Canis lupus familiaris: one gene and its partner. The protein of the gene in region 1 interacts with the protein of each later gene in a biochemical or structural test. Links are inferred from orthologs where the notes say so. Each region holds a gene or a part of one and is shown in the gene's direction. Other genes may lie near its edges.

The links. The genes of interacting proteins can lie anywhere in the genome.
Region 2: the proteins of DLG1 (region 1) and KCNJ2 form a complex in vitro, tested with the Homo sapiens proteins (2 studies listed by BioGRID and IntAct, with this or other methods). The link is inferred for Canis lupus familiaris from reciprocal best matches to the Homo sapiens genes DLG1 and KCNJ2.

The regions. Positions count from the first base shown.
Region 1 is NC_049254.1:30,809,254-30,816,735, reverse strand, and holds part of DLG1 (disks large homolog 1), read left to right. Parts: intron 1-686; coding exon 687-811; intron 812-2,667; coding exon 2,668-2,837; intron 2,838-4,203; coding exon 4,204-4,340; intron 4,341-7,482. UniProt on the Homo sapiens protein: Essential multidomain scaffolding protein required for normal development. Recruits channels, receptors and signaling molecules to discrete plasma membrane domains in polarized cells.
Region 2 is NC_049230.1:10,423,875-10,432,140, reverse strand, and holds the end of KCNJ2 (inward rectifier potassium channel 2), read left to right. Parts: intron 1-3,833; 5' UTR 3,834-4,051; coding exon 4,052-5,335; downstream 5,336-8,266.

The DNA.
Region 1 (7,482 bases):
ACTTTTCTTCAAAGAAAATATTGTTCAGAAACCCAGTACGTGAAACAAGTAACAAGTAGCACCTCTTTGGCAAAATTGATTTTGTTAACAAGAAAACTCACCAGTTGGCTTCTCAGGTTGAACTTTCGGAATTAAAAAATGCCGTTTGCTCTCCAGGTATCTTGGTTAAACATGTCAAGGATGATGACTTTTAATAGATACAATTTGGTCATTTTAAAGTCAGCTGATGGAAAGGTTAGTAAAAGAAAAGTAGCACCCTCTACCCCATTTTTAAAAGGCTGAGATAATGTTAGTTTTACCTACTCAGAAATAATTGTACCAGGAAGATCACCTCAGTACTTTTCTCCTAGGAGACATTTGCCTTACCAAACATGAGTGAGATACATTCTAAAAGAAAGAGACCTAATAGTGACCTTGCAGAGGGGTGACTGATCCAAGTATGATCCACATACTTTACTTCAAAAGAACTTAGTACTTACTCAGAAGTAATGCCTTTGAATTCTACATAGAGAAAAAAAAAGAGCTTTCCTTATATTTCTTAATTTAGAATTTTCATATCCCCTATATATACACCTTTATAAATGTGTTCCCATGTTATTTACAGTTCCTAGGTCCTAAAATGACTGGAATCTATCAAGAAAGGTAATTCATATTCAGGCTTAATTTTTTTTTTCCTTTATCTCTAGGGAAATTCAGGGCTTGGTTTCAGTATTGCAGGAGGTACGGACAACCCACACATTGGAGATGACTCAAGTATTTTCATTACCAAAATTATTGCAGGGGGAGCAGCTGCCCAAGATGGAAGATTACGGTATGTTTTGCATTTAATGTTGTGATGGTGAATATACCTTGTATATTTTTCCTTAGGCAGATGGAACCAAGGCATCAATACAAATAAGCACTATCATAATAACCAACATAAGGTAGATACTCTAACAAATGAGACAATTGTACACTAAACATTGTTTCCCTCTTCATTTAGGAATTTGATATTATAACATGTTGAATCATAAATTTGATTATTTTAAATGTTTGTAAGCAAATGTATAGAAATCATAGAATGCCTTTTGTATTTTTAAATATATTCACAAAATGTTTTCCATTTATTTTCTGGGTAAGAAACATGTATACAAACTTAGGATATACAAGCGATGATATATATATATCTGAGTTTGTATCCCATACCACAAAAAGTAAAGATTATGCAAAGTTTAAATAAATTGATACATTTTCTTAATTGAATGAATGAAAGTAATACTGGTCTCTTGTTTAAATGTAGTGTTCCATTGTAGATATCTTCTACAATCATGTTTCCTTAGACCATAGATTATGGCACTTTTCCTGTTCCCTTTTTTGTTGGGGGGTGTGTGTGTGTGTGTGTGTGTGTGTGTGTGTAGTAGTAGTAGTAGTAACAGTCTAAAGTAGTAACAGTCTAAAGTTTTAGGACTAAGGATTTCTATATGGTCTGTTAAAAATAACGTCTGGTTTTAAGGTTGTTGATACCTTCTGCAGCTCTTCAGTTTCTAAACTTCTCATTGGATAGAAAAGGTGATATGTTATTAATGAAATCATTTGGATATAAAATTAATAATTTGACCATTCATGTAAATGCAGACAATTCCCAATTGTGTTTTTATTTGTGCTTATGTGAAAATTAAGCACAAATAATTGTTTCACTAAAGAACATACCTTTAATACTTACTCTAACATATAACTGTCTTCACATAAGTTTCTTTCCTCTTAAGAAAGCTAATTACAAAGAAGCTCATCAGGATCAATTTTAATATTTTAATTGGGTTTTGTTCTCCTTCCCTGCCCAGTTTCATATGATTTTTCCCCTTAATGAAATGCTATGCAATTTAAACTGAGACCAGAGCTAGGGGAGAAGTTAGGACTAGGAACAAATCAAACTTTAAAAAAAATATATTACTGTGTCAAATTTAAATAAATTATTTACATGAAGAACCTTTTAATTAAGTAATGTAATCATTAGCTTCATATAAATTTCAAGATATAACTTTTATTTTTTTTATGTATCATATTGAAAAAGCAGTCAAATTATTTTTGGATAAATCAATGAGTTATCTCCACTTTGCCACCACTGTGTCTGTGACCTTAAACTTATTGCTCAATCTGAACCTCAGTTTTCTTTTCTGTGAGTCACAGCTCTATCAGTCATTATCTGGGTGACCTTAGGAAAATTCTAAACTCTTTGTGCCTTACTTTCTCCAGGTTGTCGTAAGGGTTAAAACACTAAAAAAATAAAAAATAAAAAAAATAATAAAACACAAAGAAGTGCTTGGCATGTGGTTAGTGCTAAATAAATATTTGCTATTTTTGTAATTATCTTAATGCTTACACATAATTAGCATACAAGAACCATACAAATTACAGCTATCATTATTATTTAATATTATTGTGTGGTAATCTGTTATCTGCACTGTTTATTTGGTTGGCCCTCAGGAAATATTTGTATTTATTATTTATATGACTATTTGATACGGTGGAATTTAACCTGAAGTTTCTTTGTATATATTTTTTTTGTATATATTTTCTATAGTAAATAATTCTCTACTTTAAAAATGAAAATGACAAAAAATTGTCAATGTGTAAGTTTTATATTTTAATATTTAATTTTTATTTTTAATATTTTGGGTTTCTTCTCAGGGTCAATGACTGTATATTGCGAGTAAATGAAGTAGATGTTCGTGATGTGACACATAGCAAAGCAGTTGAAGCATTGAAAGAAGCAGGGTCTATCGTACGCTTGTATGTAAAAAGACGGAAACCAGTATCAGAAAAAATAATGGAAATAAAGCTTATTAAAGGCCCTAAAGGTATGGAATAGTGAAACCAAGACAGATTATCAAGTAAGAAATTACTGAGATAAATGTAACTATCAAGTTACTAGTGACACACATTCTAAGATTAACAGTACTAGTAATCTACAGAACTTGTGTGGATTTTTAGAATTTCTCTTTAATTTCTGCTGATTTTTGTCTTAGGTAGAATTCTATTTAGCACTTGGAACTTATGTATACTGTTGCTATTAACTTGTAATCATCAATCTACAAAATGTATTAAATGCAGATACACGGGCTAAGTTAAAAGAAAGAAGTAATTATGAGTATGTCATTAGCCTCATCTGTAATGGGGACAGTTAATACTTGATTTCTGAGTTTTGAAAACATTGATGGAATTGAGGATAATTACTTATTCTAATTTGTAACTTTATGGAAGAAGTAGTATTCCAACAAATGAAAAAAAGAATAGAAAGCTACAAATTTGTCTAGTATTGAAGCTATGGAATTTATGAATTACAGAAATTCTTTAAAAAATTCAGAGGGGCGCTTGAGTGGTAGTCTGTTAAGTCTCCAACTCTTAGTTTCAGCTCAGGCCCTGACTTCAGGGTCATGTGATCATGCATGTCAAACTCTAGGCTTAAAGCTCTAGGCTCAAAAAAAGTTCTAGGCTCCACACAGAGGCTGCTTAAGACCCTCTCATACTCTCCCTTTCCTCCCCCACCCCCCATCCCTCTGACTCATGTGTACTTTCTCTCTTTCTAAAATAAATAAGTGAATCTTTAAAAAAATAAAAGTAATTCATAGAATATTGGAAAAGGAACAAAATTATCCACATTGTGAAGCCTATTAGTTCTGCCTACTACCAAAAAATTTTATTATTTTTCTCAATTGTTTTACTCTTATGAAGGTATTAAAAGTGTTAGAAACACAATCATGATGGGAACAAAATTGAAACATAATTTTGTAATGCCTCTTTGAACTAACAAACGCATTTACAAACAGACCTTAAGAAGTAACCTGGGCAGAGAGGACAGAACTTATTTCTAACTGTAGGAACATCTATATAAAAAATTGTTCAATGACTACAAAGTAAACACGTAAGACTTAAAAAATAGGCAAATAGGTGTGCTTGGGTGACTCAGTCACTTGAGCATCCAACCCTTGATCTCAGCTCAGGTCTCGATCTCAGGGTTTTAAGTTCAAGTCCCCCCTCTGGGCCCCATGCTGGGGGTGGAGGCTACTTTAAAAAAAAAAAGTAGACAAATAGATTCGTCTGTATTTAAAAAAAAAAACCAAAAAACATGAGTGTGATAAGACTGTCACCTTCTAGTTTTCAACCATTTCTGGACTTAAAAATACTTTAAATGATGAAATTTCAAAACTAGTATTTTCCAAACAGGTCTTGGGTTCAGCATTGCTGGAGGTGTTGGAAATCAACATATTCCTGGGGATAATAGCATCTATGTAACCAAGATAATTGAAGGAGGTGCAGCACATAAAGATGGTAAACTTCAGATTGGAGATAAACTTTTAGCAGTGAGTATAAGAAAGCTGTTATTTTAAAAATCATTTTCATGTCTCCTCTTTTTTTTTTTTTTTTTTGGAAAAACTGAAATTTTTCTTGCCAAAAATGTTTAAACAATATTTAAATGAATGAACACTAATTTTTAATCAAAACCTGAAAAATGGTTCTTGGTATTATTTGCCCCTTTGTTCCCCCTCTACTAGCTTCTCTCTCTTTTCTTTCTTTTTTTTTTTTTTTCCTTCCTTTTCCTACTCTTTTTTGTTGAAGGGCTAGGGAGTTGGATGCACAGAATTGTTTAAACACAGTATCACCCTTTGTGTGTGACTTTCTTTTTCTTGTTACTTAATTATAGTATAATGAAGACTGCTAAAATCAAAACTAGAATATCAACAACTTGTTTTTTATTCATTTGCTTTTAAAAATTGTTTAATCACATACCTATGCCTAAATATCTTGTTTAATATTAATTTGTTCTGAAAATGTTCTTAAAGGCTGTTGTGAAAAAAAAACAAAAAAAAAAAAAAAGGCTGTTGTGCTGAATGTAGTCTTTTAAATTTTATTTTTTACTCAGAATTGGTTTACTGAGATTTATCCAGATTGTTGCCTAGAGCTAAAAATTTATTCATTTCACCTCTACATAATATAGCTCCAGATCTATACTGCAGTTTATTTATCCAGTCTTCATCAATAATGATCCTAGTCTATGTTCCCTAGAAAAACATCTGAAGAAAAGGTACCGTGCTAAGGTTTCATTGGGAGATGTAATCTCAGAAGCTAGAGTGAATGAAAATGAAAAGTGAGGGAGAGAATAGGGGAAAGTCAATACAAGGTATTATGTTTCTGAGCTGGCTATAATTTCATAAGAAAATGTCACTAATTGACATATAGGACAGCCTTCCAGTCAGGTGATGTGACACTATTAAACTTTAGATCCAGCCATCCAGGGAAAAGAAAATATTTGTCTCCCTATCTCTTGTTAGATAGAGTCTATTCCATGAATGGTAACTGTCCCTAATTTCTGCACTGTTACTCAGCTACTCTGGGCAAATGCTAGGGAAGCCAGCTCCCATACTCCATGGTATAGCATTTCCTCTGAACTGAGAAGTGATGGAAAGAACCAGAGCTTCAGTGATCTAGACAGACCAGAACACAGGCTTTTGACGTGTTACAGCTCTCATTTCTGTGTAACACATTAGTCATGCCAAGTGCAGCCCTTACCCTAGAAAAGATTAAAAGATCTGGTAATGGTAGGAGACAAGGTGAGAGAAGTGGTAGCCAGGACTCTCCAGTAAGCACACAGCCAAAGCCTAGTAGGCATGTAGGCTCAAGAAAATCTGAAAAGGCACATAAACTAGATCTGATACAGTAGTAAGTTGGGTTATTGCTTTTTTTTTTTTAAAGGATTTATTTATTTATTTATTCGTGATAGAGAGGCAGAGACACAGGCAGAGAAGAAGCAGGCCCCATGCTGGATGCCCGATGCGGGACTCAATCCCGGGACTCCAGGATCACGCCCTGAGCCAAAGGCAGGCGCTAAACCGCTGAGCCACCCCGGGATCCCCATCTTTTTTGTTTTTTGTTTTTTTTTTTTTTTTGGTAGTATGAATAATTCTAGGGAGAGCTGCTTTGTGTCTGGTGAACATGTACATACAAGAGTTTCACTTAACTATTTATCCTAAAGCAGTGGTCATTGAATATCCTCTTAGTAACATTATAGCAAAAACATCTTGTTTTCCAAACCAGTTATAAAAATGTACACTCCTGTGAGCAATATATAAATGATTCCTTTGTTGTACATGCAGTCCATTACTGCTTATTGCTGAAGCAAGGAGATTGTTTTCAGGTTGATAATGGGGAAGAGGAAAGAGCTGACTTTGGACTGCTTTTCTTTTAACCCTAACTCTAGCCCCTAATCCTAACACACACACCCATTGAAAATAGCTGCCTTTTTTCACTGAGTTTTTCATTTGTACTGTTTAATTTCTTAGATACTATGTTTTCTTTTATGGTTTTTCCAGAATCCATTTTAGTGGTTGGAAAGCCAGCAATGTGTCCTGATTGACATTTAGTTAGGCTTTGGTTGTCATAATTCCACTGAAATTACTGAATTCTTAATTCTCAGCCTAATTGCCATCAGGCATTCAGCACAACTTCCATCTTCTTCAGACCACTTCCATTTTCTATAACGGTTACCCTCTTTCTTGATATTCCTCTTATGTCACTAGTCATTCCTTCTCATCCTCCCTTTTGGTACATCTTCTCTCTAACCTCTAAACATTGAAGTGAGAAAGGACTTGGTCCTTGTACGTTTTTTCTTTTTGATAGGTGGTCAAATAACTTACAGTATCATTGCAAATGATAGGCGTAAGTATTATTTTCTGAACTTTTGTTTTTACATACATACACAATACATTTTGTGCTTGGCTAAACTATAAAAATTTTTAACCATGGTTCTTAGCAGAACAGTTGAAAAGCCCTAAGAGATTTCACCTAGTCTCCTTTCATAAATCTCAAGAATCATGTCAAATTTATTATATCTAAAAAGGAACTTTTGGGGTGCCTGGGTTGAGCATCTGCCTTTGTCTCAGGCCGTGATCCCAGGGTGTTGGCATCAAGTCCTGTATCAGGCTCCCCACTGGGAGCTTGCTTCTTCCTCTGCCTGTGTCTCTGCCTCTCTTGCATGAATAAATAAATGAATAAAAACTTTAAAAAATAAAATAAAAATAAATTTCTGAGTTTCATCCTAAGCCTCACCCACCATCCTCAAATCCTGTTCGTTGCACAGTCTTCACATCTGTTTACCCAGGTCTAAAACTTCAGGCTCATTGTCCTTTTATGCTCCATATTGAATCCCTTGACAAATCTTGTCAGCTCTTTATCTGTTATCTAATGCTACTTAAGAAAATACAGAAATTAAAAAAAAAAAAAAAAAAAGAAAATACAGAAATTAGTGGCTAAAACAACAACAATAATTATTTGCTGACACTTCTGTAATTTGGGTAGGGTTCAGCCAGGACAGCCTCTGTTCTGCATAATGTCACCTGGTAGCTCAACTAGAGATCCAGGAATCCACTTCCAAGTTCACTTATATATGGCAGACAAGTTGGTGTTGGCTCTCAATTGGAGCTGTTAGCCAGTGGCCTCTCCACGTGG
Region 2 (8,266 bases), on another chromosome or scaffold:
TTTCTTTCTTTCTTTCTTTCTTTCTTTCTTTTTTTCTTTCTATTTCTTTTTTAAAGAACATACAGTATTTCTACTCTCTTCAGAAGCCCCAGTTGTAGAATCTCTGGGTAGCTGGCGAGTCCTTGTATGACTTTTCAGTGGCATGGAAGATTGGCCACATTATTACCTGAACAGATAGACCTTTGCAGGCTTTTTTTTTTTTTTAATCACCAAATATATATATTTCTCAGCATTTGCCAATGCTGAGTGATGCTACATGCACTGTTGAGTATAAATGCTAGAGTGCTCAAATAGATAAATGTGGATCCCTCTGCCCCTTCCCTTCCTTCCCCTCCCCCCTCCCTTCTGTTTACTGAGCTTCTAAGAGGTTGCTTTGCTAGCAGTTGTGCTCACATAGCAACATGTGCCCAGAGCATACTCAGGCTGGTCTATATGGCGTCAGCTGGGGAATAACTGCCCTGAACACTCATTAGCAGACCTCTCTGTCAGCCCAGCACACTTTCTTTTACTATCCTCATTTGCTATCCTTAGTTAGAAACTTTCTTATTCACTGCACACCATGACCATATTATGAGGCACATTTATTCTCATCTATTCGTCATAATGATATTTTTCTAGTTTTTTTATACTCCAAATTGGGAATATTTCCTATATGGTAAAAATGACTTCTTTTCACTCATTTATACGTGTTATCTCCTTGACCTTGAATTTTATCTATAGCACTCTCTCTCTTTAACATCTACCTAAGATTGAAATGGCTGAACTATTTTTTTCCATTGCTTATGCTTAATTTTGGCTCAGCCTATAAATAGTCTTAACATGAACAGCACCACATGTAGCCTCTCAATTTCCCAGAAATACTTTCTACCTCATTGGTGAGAGCCTGGGTAAAATGATTATTTGTATCTATTAAATTGACATCAGCCCCTTAAATATTTTGGCTGAGAGGGGAATTTACACATTGTTCCTCAAATCAAATATGGATTCTCCTGAACTGCACCCATCAAGGAGTCAGATCACTTCGTGTTCTCATCATTCTTCATCAGATGTCTCTGAAAAAATTATTTTGAATATATGCCTAAAATAAAGTTGCACGAAAGCCCTATTCCTAATGGAAGTTTTTTTTCCAGATGCTCACCAATCGGTGTTTTTTAGTGAGAGAAAAGCAGGCAAGGAAGTTTTCTGCTTGCCTAAAGCCACTTGGGCATGTGGGCAGGTCAGTAAGGAGGGCCTTCTTCATAATGAAATGTTGAGACAATCACCCGAGCGAACTGTGGCAGGTTCCAGATTTTTGCTATGTAATCAGCTCCCCAAAACTCTAAAATACACATACAGTGTGTGCACACATATACACACATAAATCTGTTTTGGAGCATATCTATTTGAAGTGACAAAAGCTTCCATTTTGCCAGAAAAATCTTTTTTTCCCCCTTTCCAGCAGAATGGTAAAATTTGTAAATGATGCTGCGCATGTGGAACAAATTCTGTCATTAACAGTGGAAATAAGACAATAATAGTCGTTCAATACAGGCTACTTTCAAAGTTCCAAATGCAGAAAGCTATTGGTAGGAAGCTGGTATTGTGTGTTTTGTGGAATTCGAACTAATGTCCTAGGGTCAAGATTTTTGGAGGGTCGTAATTCAGTCTTTAGATTTCATATGGTTGTTATGCTTTAATCTGGAAAGAGTGCAGAAATAAGTCAGAAGAAATTTGAAACTGTCTACTCATGGTCCCTAATGGTAACTCAGATGGAAGGATTGTTTTGAATCATGAAAAGGGAATTTCTTGGTGTCAGCTTATAATATACGATTCTGAAGTCATCCAGACCTCAAGGATTCAAGCACTATTTAAATGAGGCCTCCTCTTCTCCCCCCTTTTTTGGAAAGTACACCTGCATCTGATGTTGCATTGTTATCTCTCTCTGGTCTTGCGTAGAAATCCTTGGCAATATCATATGAGCCCAGTAATCTGAAGTCACTGTTGAAAAAATTCTTTCCATGTCCAGGATCTAGAACCCTGAGGAATAGGAGTCTTATTTCTTTTGTCCAAGTACAAACTTCATAGGGAAGCAGACAAAACATTGAAGCAGGTGGAAGACTAGGAAGGCACAGTAACTTCTTTTTATAAAGTAATTCAAAGGCACTTTCAAATCGGGCATCATTTACGTGTCAAAAGCTGCCAAAATGTAACACACATTGCAATTTTCACAGATGACTAATCTCAGGAAAAATGTGTTGGGGCACATTCTTGCATAATAACTTGGATAAGGAGAGAGAAGTGAAAAGACTGTAACAAGGCATTTTCAAAGACAATGCACCTTGCCTCTCTTGAAGGGGGGGGGTGCGCAAAAACAAGATAAATGACTCGCTTTATTTGTTGGCAGGTGGCTCGGCTGAAATTGGTTCTGTTAACTACTTAATCTCTATGCGGTTGTGGGGGGGGGTGGAGAAAGAAAAAGTGGCGTCCTCATAATCAGGGCTCCAGTGACTTTCTGCTCCTTCCCATCTGTTTCCCATTGCCCCCCTCCCCCCTCCTTTCCTACAGGAGATCGATTGGGTTGTTTGACAAGTGGAGAGTCACTTCTGGGTTTTCAGTTCTATGCCGGGGTTCATTTTGTTAATTTCTATTTGATAGAGGAGACACTTTGGACTTTATCTTAGACACTTTTGTTAGTCAAGGAAAAAAAATAGTTTCTTGGGAGTGAAGATGGGAAGTTCAAGGCGATAGATCGTTTTTATCTGGGTTAGGATGAGGCTAGAGGAGAAGACTGAAAACGATTATTGGTTCACGTTAGGTAAAGGTGAGTGCCTTCTCCATGGGAACCTAGAGCAAACAGCAGCACTGGAAGTGAAAGTGAGCCGACTGACAGTCGTGATCTACTCCTACCAAGTTGTCTCTGTTTGGGAAAACACGGAATTGGACCCACATGAAATGAGTTCCTGCCTTATCTCAATTCGCTGAAGACCTGGTCCTTTGGCACAAAGGTGCTTACTTCCTAGCCTGTCATTACACATGGCAGTCCCATCTCCGGAGAATTTCAGGACTCATTGCTAGGCAACAGACTCGCTCTTTATCCCCCAGAGCAAACCCACGCCTTCAAGTCAGAATCACTTGCAGTAACAGAGATGTTATCGGGCATTTCTGCAAAGTGGCTGCTAGCGCCGTGCGAAGTGATGGAGCAAGCCCAAACAGTCTCCAGAAATTGGGACCGATTTCAGATCACTCTAAGGGCTGTCTGCTCAGTTGTTGGTTTTTTATTTTTTTTAAATGATTAAAAAAAAATGTTTAATCATTTAAACAAAATAGTCTGTGCCTTCTGATTTCCACCGTGTCCTCGAGGGCTCCGCTCTATTCTCCCCCGATGCACCTGCAGCTCAGTTAATATTAATATTCTGCGTTTATACGAACGGTCGGTCCTCTGGACATGTCTGAGTTCCCAAAGCCTCGTGACAAACCTTGGCCTTGCTCAGCCAGTCTCCCTTCTGCTTGACAACCTGGGGCCCTAGCAAGCAGAGTAGGCACGAGAGAGGATAAGAGGGGTTTCTCTGGAAAATAGAATCGCCTAGATTGCTGGAAAAAAAAAAAAAGAAAAAAGAAAACAGGGGGAAAAGAACCTGACATTTTGATTGAAAGACTGTCCCAAACTCTTCCACGTTCGATGACTTGATGCTTTTAAGTACAATAAAAGATACAGTTCAGGGGACAAAGCAGCTAAGAACACCTTCTAACTCAGCGCAGGGTGTACGTCCGCTAGGAAATGTCCCCCGAGAGAGCAGAACCCCTTGCCGATGCCTTCTTTTCGGATGAATAACGTCTTGTCTCGTTGTTTCCAGGTCACGTCCTCCCCTGGATGTCAGCTGAGTTACTGAGGTGGCTCTGCATGTCCGGAGACAGACGTTGGTAGAAGCCCCGGCTCCTGGAGGCCCGCCGTCTCTCCTTCTTCTTTGGCGTGTGTGTCCTCACCGAGCATTCAAAACTGTTTCTCCAAAGGGTCTTGCAAAAACTCAGACTGTTTTCCAAAGCCGAAGCACTGGCGTCCACAGCAGGAGCGATGGGCAGTGTGCGGACCAACCGCTACAGCATCGTCTCTTCCGAAGAGGACGGGATGAAGTTGGCCACCATGGCGGTTGCCAACGGCTTTGGGAACGGGAAGAGTAAGGTCCACACCCGACAGCAGTGCAGGAGCCGCTTCGTGAAGAAGGACGGCCACTGCAACGTCCAGTTCATCAACGTGGGGGAGAAGGGACAGCGGTACCTCGCAGACATCTTTACCACATGCGTGGACATTCGCTGGCGGTGGATGCTGGTCATCTTCTGCCTGGCGTTCGTGCTCTCCTGGCTGTTCTTTGGCTGTGTGTTTTGGTTGATAGCTCTGCTCCATGGCGATCTGGATGCATCTAAAGAGAGCAAGGCTTGCGTGTCCGAGGTCAACAGCTTCACGGCGGCCTTCCTCTTCTCCATCGAGACCCAGACGACCATAGGCTACGGCTTCCGCTGTGTCACAGACGAATGCCCAGTTGCCGTGTTCATGGTGGTCTTCCAGTCCATCGTGGGCTGCATCATCGATGCCTTCATCATCGGCGCGGTCATGGCGAAGATGGCCAAGCCAAAGAAGAGGAACGAGACTCTGGTCTTCAGTCACAACGCTGTGATCGCCATGAGAGATGGCAAGCTGTGTTTGATGTGGCGGGTGGGCAACCTTCGGAAGAGCCACTTGGTGGAGGCCCACGTGAGGGCCCAGCTGCTCAAATCCCGAATCACTTCCGAGGGGGAGTACATCCCCCTGGATCAAATAGATATCAACGTTGGGTTCGACAGCGGGATTGACCGGATATTTCTGGTGTCCCCCATCACCATAGTCCACGAGATAGATGAAGACAGTCCTTTATATGACTTGAGCAAACAGGACATCGACAATGCAGACTTTGAAATCGTTGTCATACTGGAGGGCATGGTGGAGGCCACGGCCATGACCACCCAGTGCCGTAGCTCCTATCTGGCGAATGAGATCCTCTGGGGCCACCGCTACGAGCCTGTCCTCTTCGAGGAGAAGCACTACTACAAAGTGGACTACTCAAGGTTCCACAAGACCTACGAAGTGCCCAACACGCCCCTCTGTAGTGCCAGAGACTTAGCCGAAAAGAAATACATCCTCTCAAATGCTAACTCCTTTTGCTACGAAAACGAAGTTGCCCTCACAAGCAAAGAGGAAGATGACAGTGAAAATGGAGTTCCAGAAAGCACGAGTACGGACACGCCCCCTGACCTAGACCTTCACAACCAGGCAAGCGTACCTCTAGAGCCCAGGCCCTTAAGGCGAGAGTCGGAGATCTGACTGCTTCCTCCTCTGGAATATTGACTTTCAACTAACAGTCTGTTGGTCAAAGGCCCCAAGCAGTTATTCAGACGACGGTACTGGTGAAGAGGTGGGTCAAGGCACGTGGCCACAAGGGACCGAGGCGAGTACGGTGGCGTCGAAGAAAGGACTGTAAGCTCGGAGATTTAACCTTAGAGCACTCAACACGCCTCCTCTCCCCCCTCCCCCACCCCATGACCCGATGGCACATACATGTGATAGAATAAGTTATGGGGTTTTTCTGTTTCGTTTTGTGTGTTTTACAAAACTTGAACTCGCAGGCCAGCCTCGGTTGGGTATTTGACGAATCCAGAATGCTTCTCCTTAGGGAACAAGAATGTTTTTAATGGCATAACAAAGGCAAGACTCTGCCTTAATTTTTTTTGAAAAGCTGCTAACTACATGAACACAAATTGTATTTTTGTTGCCGTGTAGTTCTTCTTTCGTGTAATTTAAAAGTCAGTGTTGAACTTTGTTGAAAGCTCATGATATGTGCTTCAAAGTGGCAAGTATTTGGCTATTAAGCTGCCAAAACGAGAGCCTGATTTTTTGAGGCCAGTAATTTGTTTGCTAGAATTGATTTTTTTTTTCTCTCTCTCTCTCTCTCTCTTTCTCTCTCTCTCTTTGGTTACATAAGGGCATTATGTAACACTAGCCAAATGGTAGCCTCTGGGTTTTCTTTTTTTTTTTTTTCTTCCATGATGTTAATGGGTTATCTCAAATTTTAAGTTAGACTACCTAAAATAAATACCAAAGATAATGCACATTTTTGCACAGTGGAGCTTATACTAAAAAGGATAGAAAGCCCCACGGCTGCCTTGAAATCAAGAAACAGTAACTTTGAACCTCAGCAAGACCTTGAACTGCCCTCTCCTTTTTTCACCTTATTCAGAAAATAGAATATCCTCCGCAGAGTATAGTAAGTGTCGTGCTTTTTCAGTTTTGCTCTTTCATGCAACTAGTGTATGATGAGAGGAAGAAGAAAGGGGAAGGAAAATTCACACACACACAATCAAAATATCCTTTCTTTCCTGTGAGGTTGGGCTGGCCAGGCCGACGCATAAGGTGAGAGATGGTGACGGGCTCTTAGATTTTTCTGGCTCTCCCCTTTGGGCGCCTTCCAGGATTTATTCCATAAGATAAGACCTAGGTTGGAGTTAGTTGGCATCCCCAAAAGCTGAGCCATCCAACGTGAAAGATAGAGAAGTTTAAACCCTTGCAGCTGAATTCATTGGCCCAACTGTCAGGACATTTCCAGGCCGACTTCGCCTTTGAGAAGATGCCACGCCTGGCCTCTAGGCTGGTTCTTCCGATCAGTGTGTCTGGAGTGAGTCCTATAGTGTCTGGGAGGCTGCAGATGCCCAAGGGGGAGCTGGTGAGGTGTGGACCGTGTGGACCGGCCACTTTGATACAGCACGTCAGCTCAAGTATTCGGGAGGGAGAGGAAAGTTATTTATTTATTTTTAATGGTAGAGGGTAGGAATGAAAATGTCGCAGTATTCTGGGGTCAACCAGAGCCATACAAGATATAACAGCCACAAGTAGAAGAGATAATGATCTAAAAGGATTATTTCTCCTTTATGTATGCACATTTGGGATTGGATCTGAGCTGATCCTTCTCGCCTATAGAGCCCTAGAGCAGGTTACTAAGGACACATTGTTTTCCAGAAGTCTCTCCTGCCTGGCTGCCTGACTTGACTGAAACTTTTTTTTTTTTTTTTTTTACCCTGCTCTAACTCAATAATGGAGCTCTTTTTTGGTTTAAAGTTCCTTATGTGTGAATTCTGGGGGTTGCTGACTTTTCTTTTTTAATTGGAGTCTCAAAATCAACTCTCTTATGGTATTATAACCCTGTATGCCATTAAAAAACAGCTTGTTCTGGAATCCTGTATTTCGTAAATTGATGTGTGTGATGGTCTCTGGTTCTTGAACAGCCATCTCTGAATGCCGTGCCTGCAATAATATTACAGTTTCTGCTGTTCTCAGCCTTCAGAGTCGATGGGTTTGAAAACTGGTGTTCTTCTCATGGAAACCAAGACAGAGATGTCAAGCAAGCGGATGCTATTTTAAATCCAAATTTAAAGGCAGGTTTGGGAAGTTGTTTTGAGAGTTGGAGGAATTGGGATTGATAGGACAAAAGAATTGACAGAAGAGAGAACAAGTTGGCTGTTGAGGGTGAGAGGTTACTGAGGGCTTCAGCTGCTGCTATTTCGATATTTTGCAAAGGAAAATAATCAAACCAAAGAGTATTCAGTGATATGTAAATTAAATGAAGATGCAGTGGAGCATGGGGTGACCACTGAGAGGGCTCCTCCCAAACACACAGTGCTGCCACTTAAAAAGACTTGAGATATTTGAAAGGGGGTGGGTCTGGGGGCAAGAATGAGGGAGGGAAATCTTTCAACTTATTTCTGAAAAACAGAAAAAAAATCTAAAATTTCTGGTGCACAGGTTTGTTTTTGTTTCTGTTTTTTTTTTTCCAAGAAAATTTTGCAGAAGCTATGTTTTTAAAGTGTACATTTTATAAAGTTTATCAGATATTTTCATATTTAAAGCCAAATGTAAATAGAAGTCTGTAAAGGAAAAAAAAATTGCCATAGAAAGTATAATTTCAGTGCAGCAATTTCAGAGAGCTAGTACCTCTATGCTACCGGTTAGCATGGTTTTAGCAAATATTTACCAGCCTTATAAGGTTCGTATTGCTATGTTCTGTTATTTATTTCAGCATGGACTGTTCATTTGAAAGCTCTTTCTAGTTAGTATTTTAACAATTACAAGCTTTAAATGGCAATTTTTTTTTTTTTTTTTTTTTTTTTTTGTCAAGAGCCAAGACACAGGTAATGCACAACATTTTTTGTTGCATTTTACCTTCAAAACATTTGTCCTTATTGACTGAGTCTCCTTAATTAG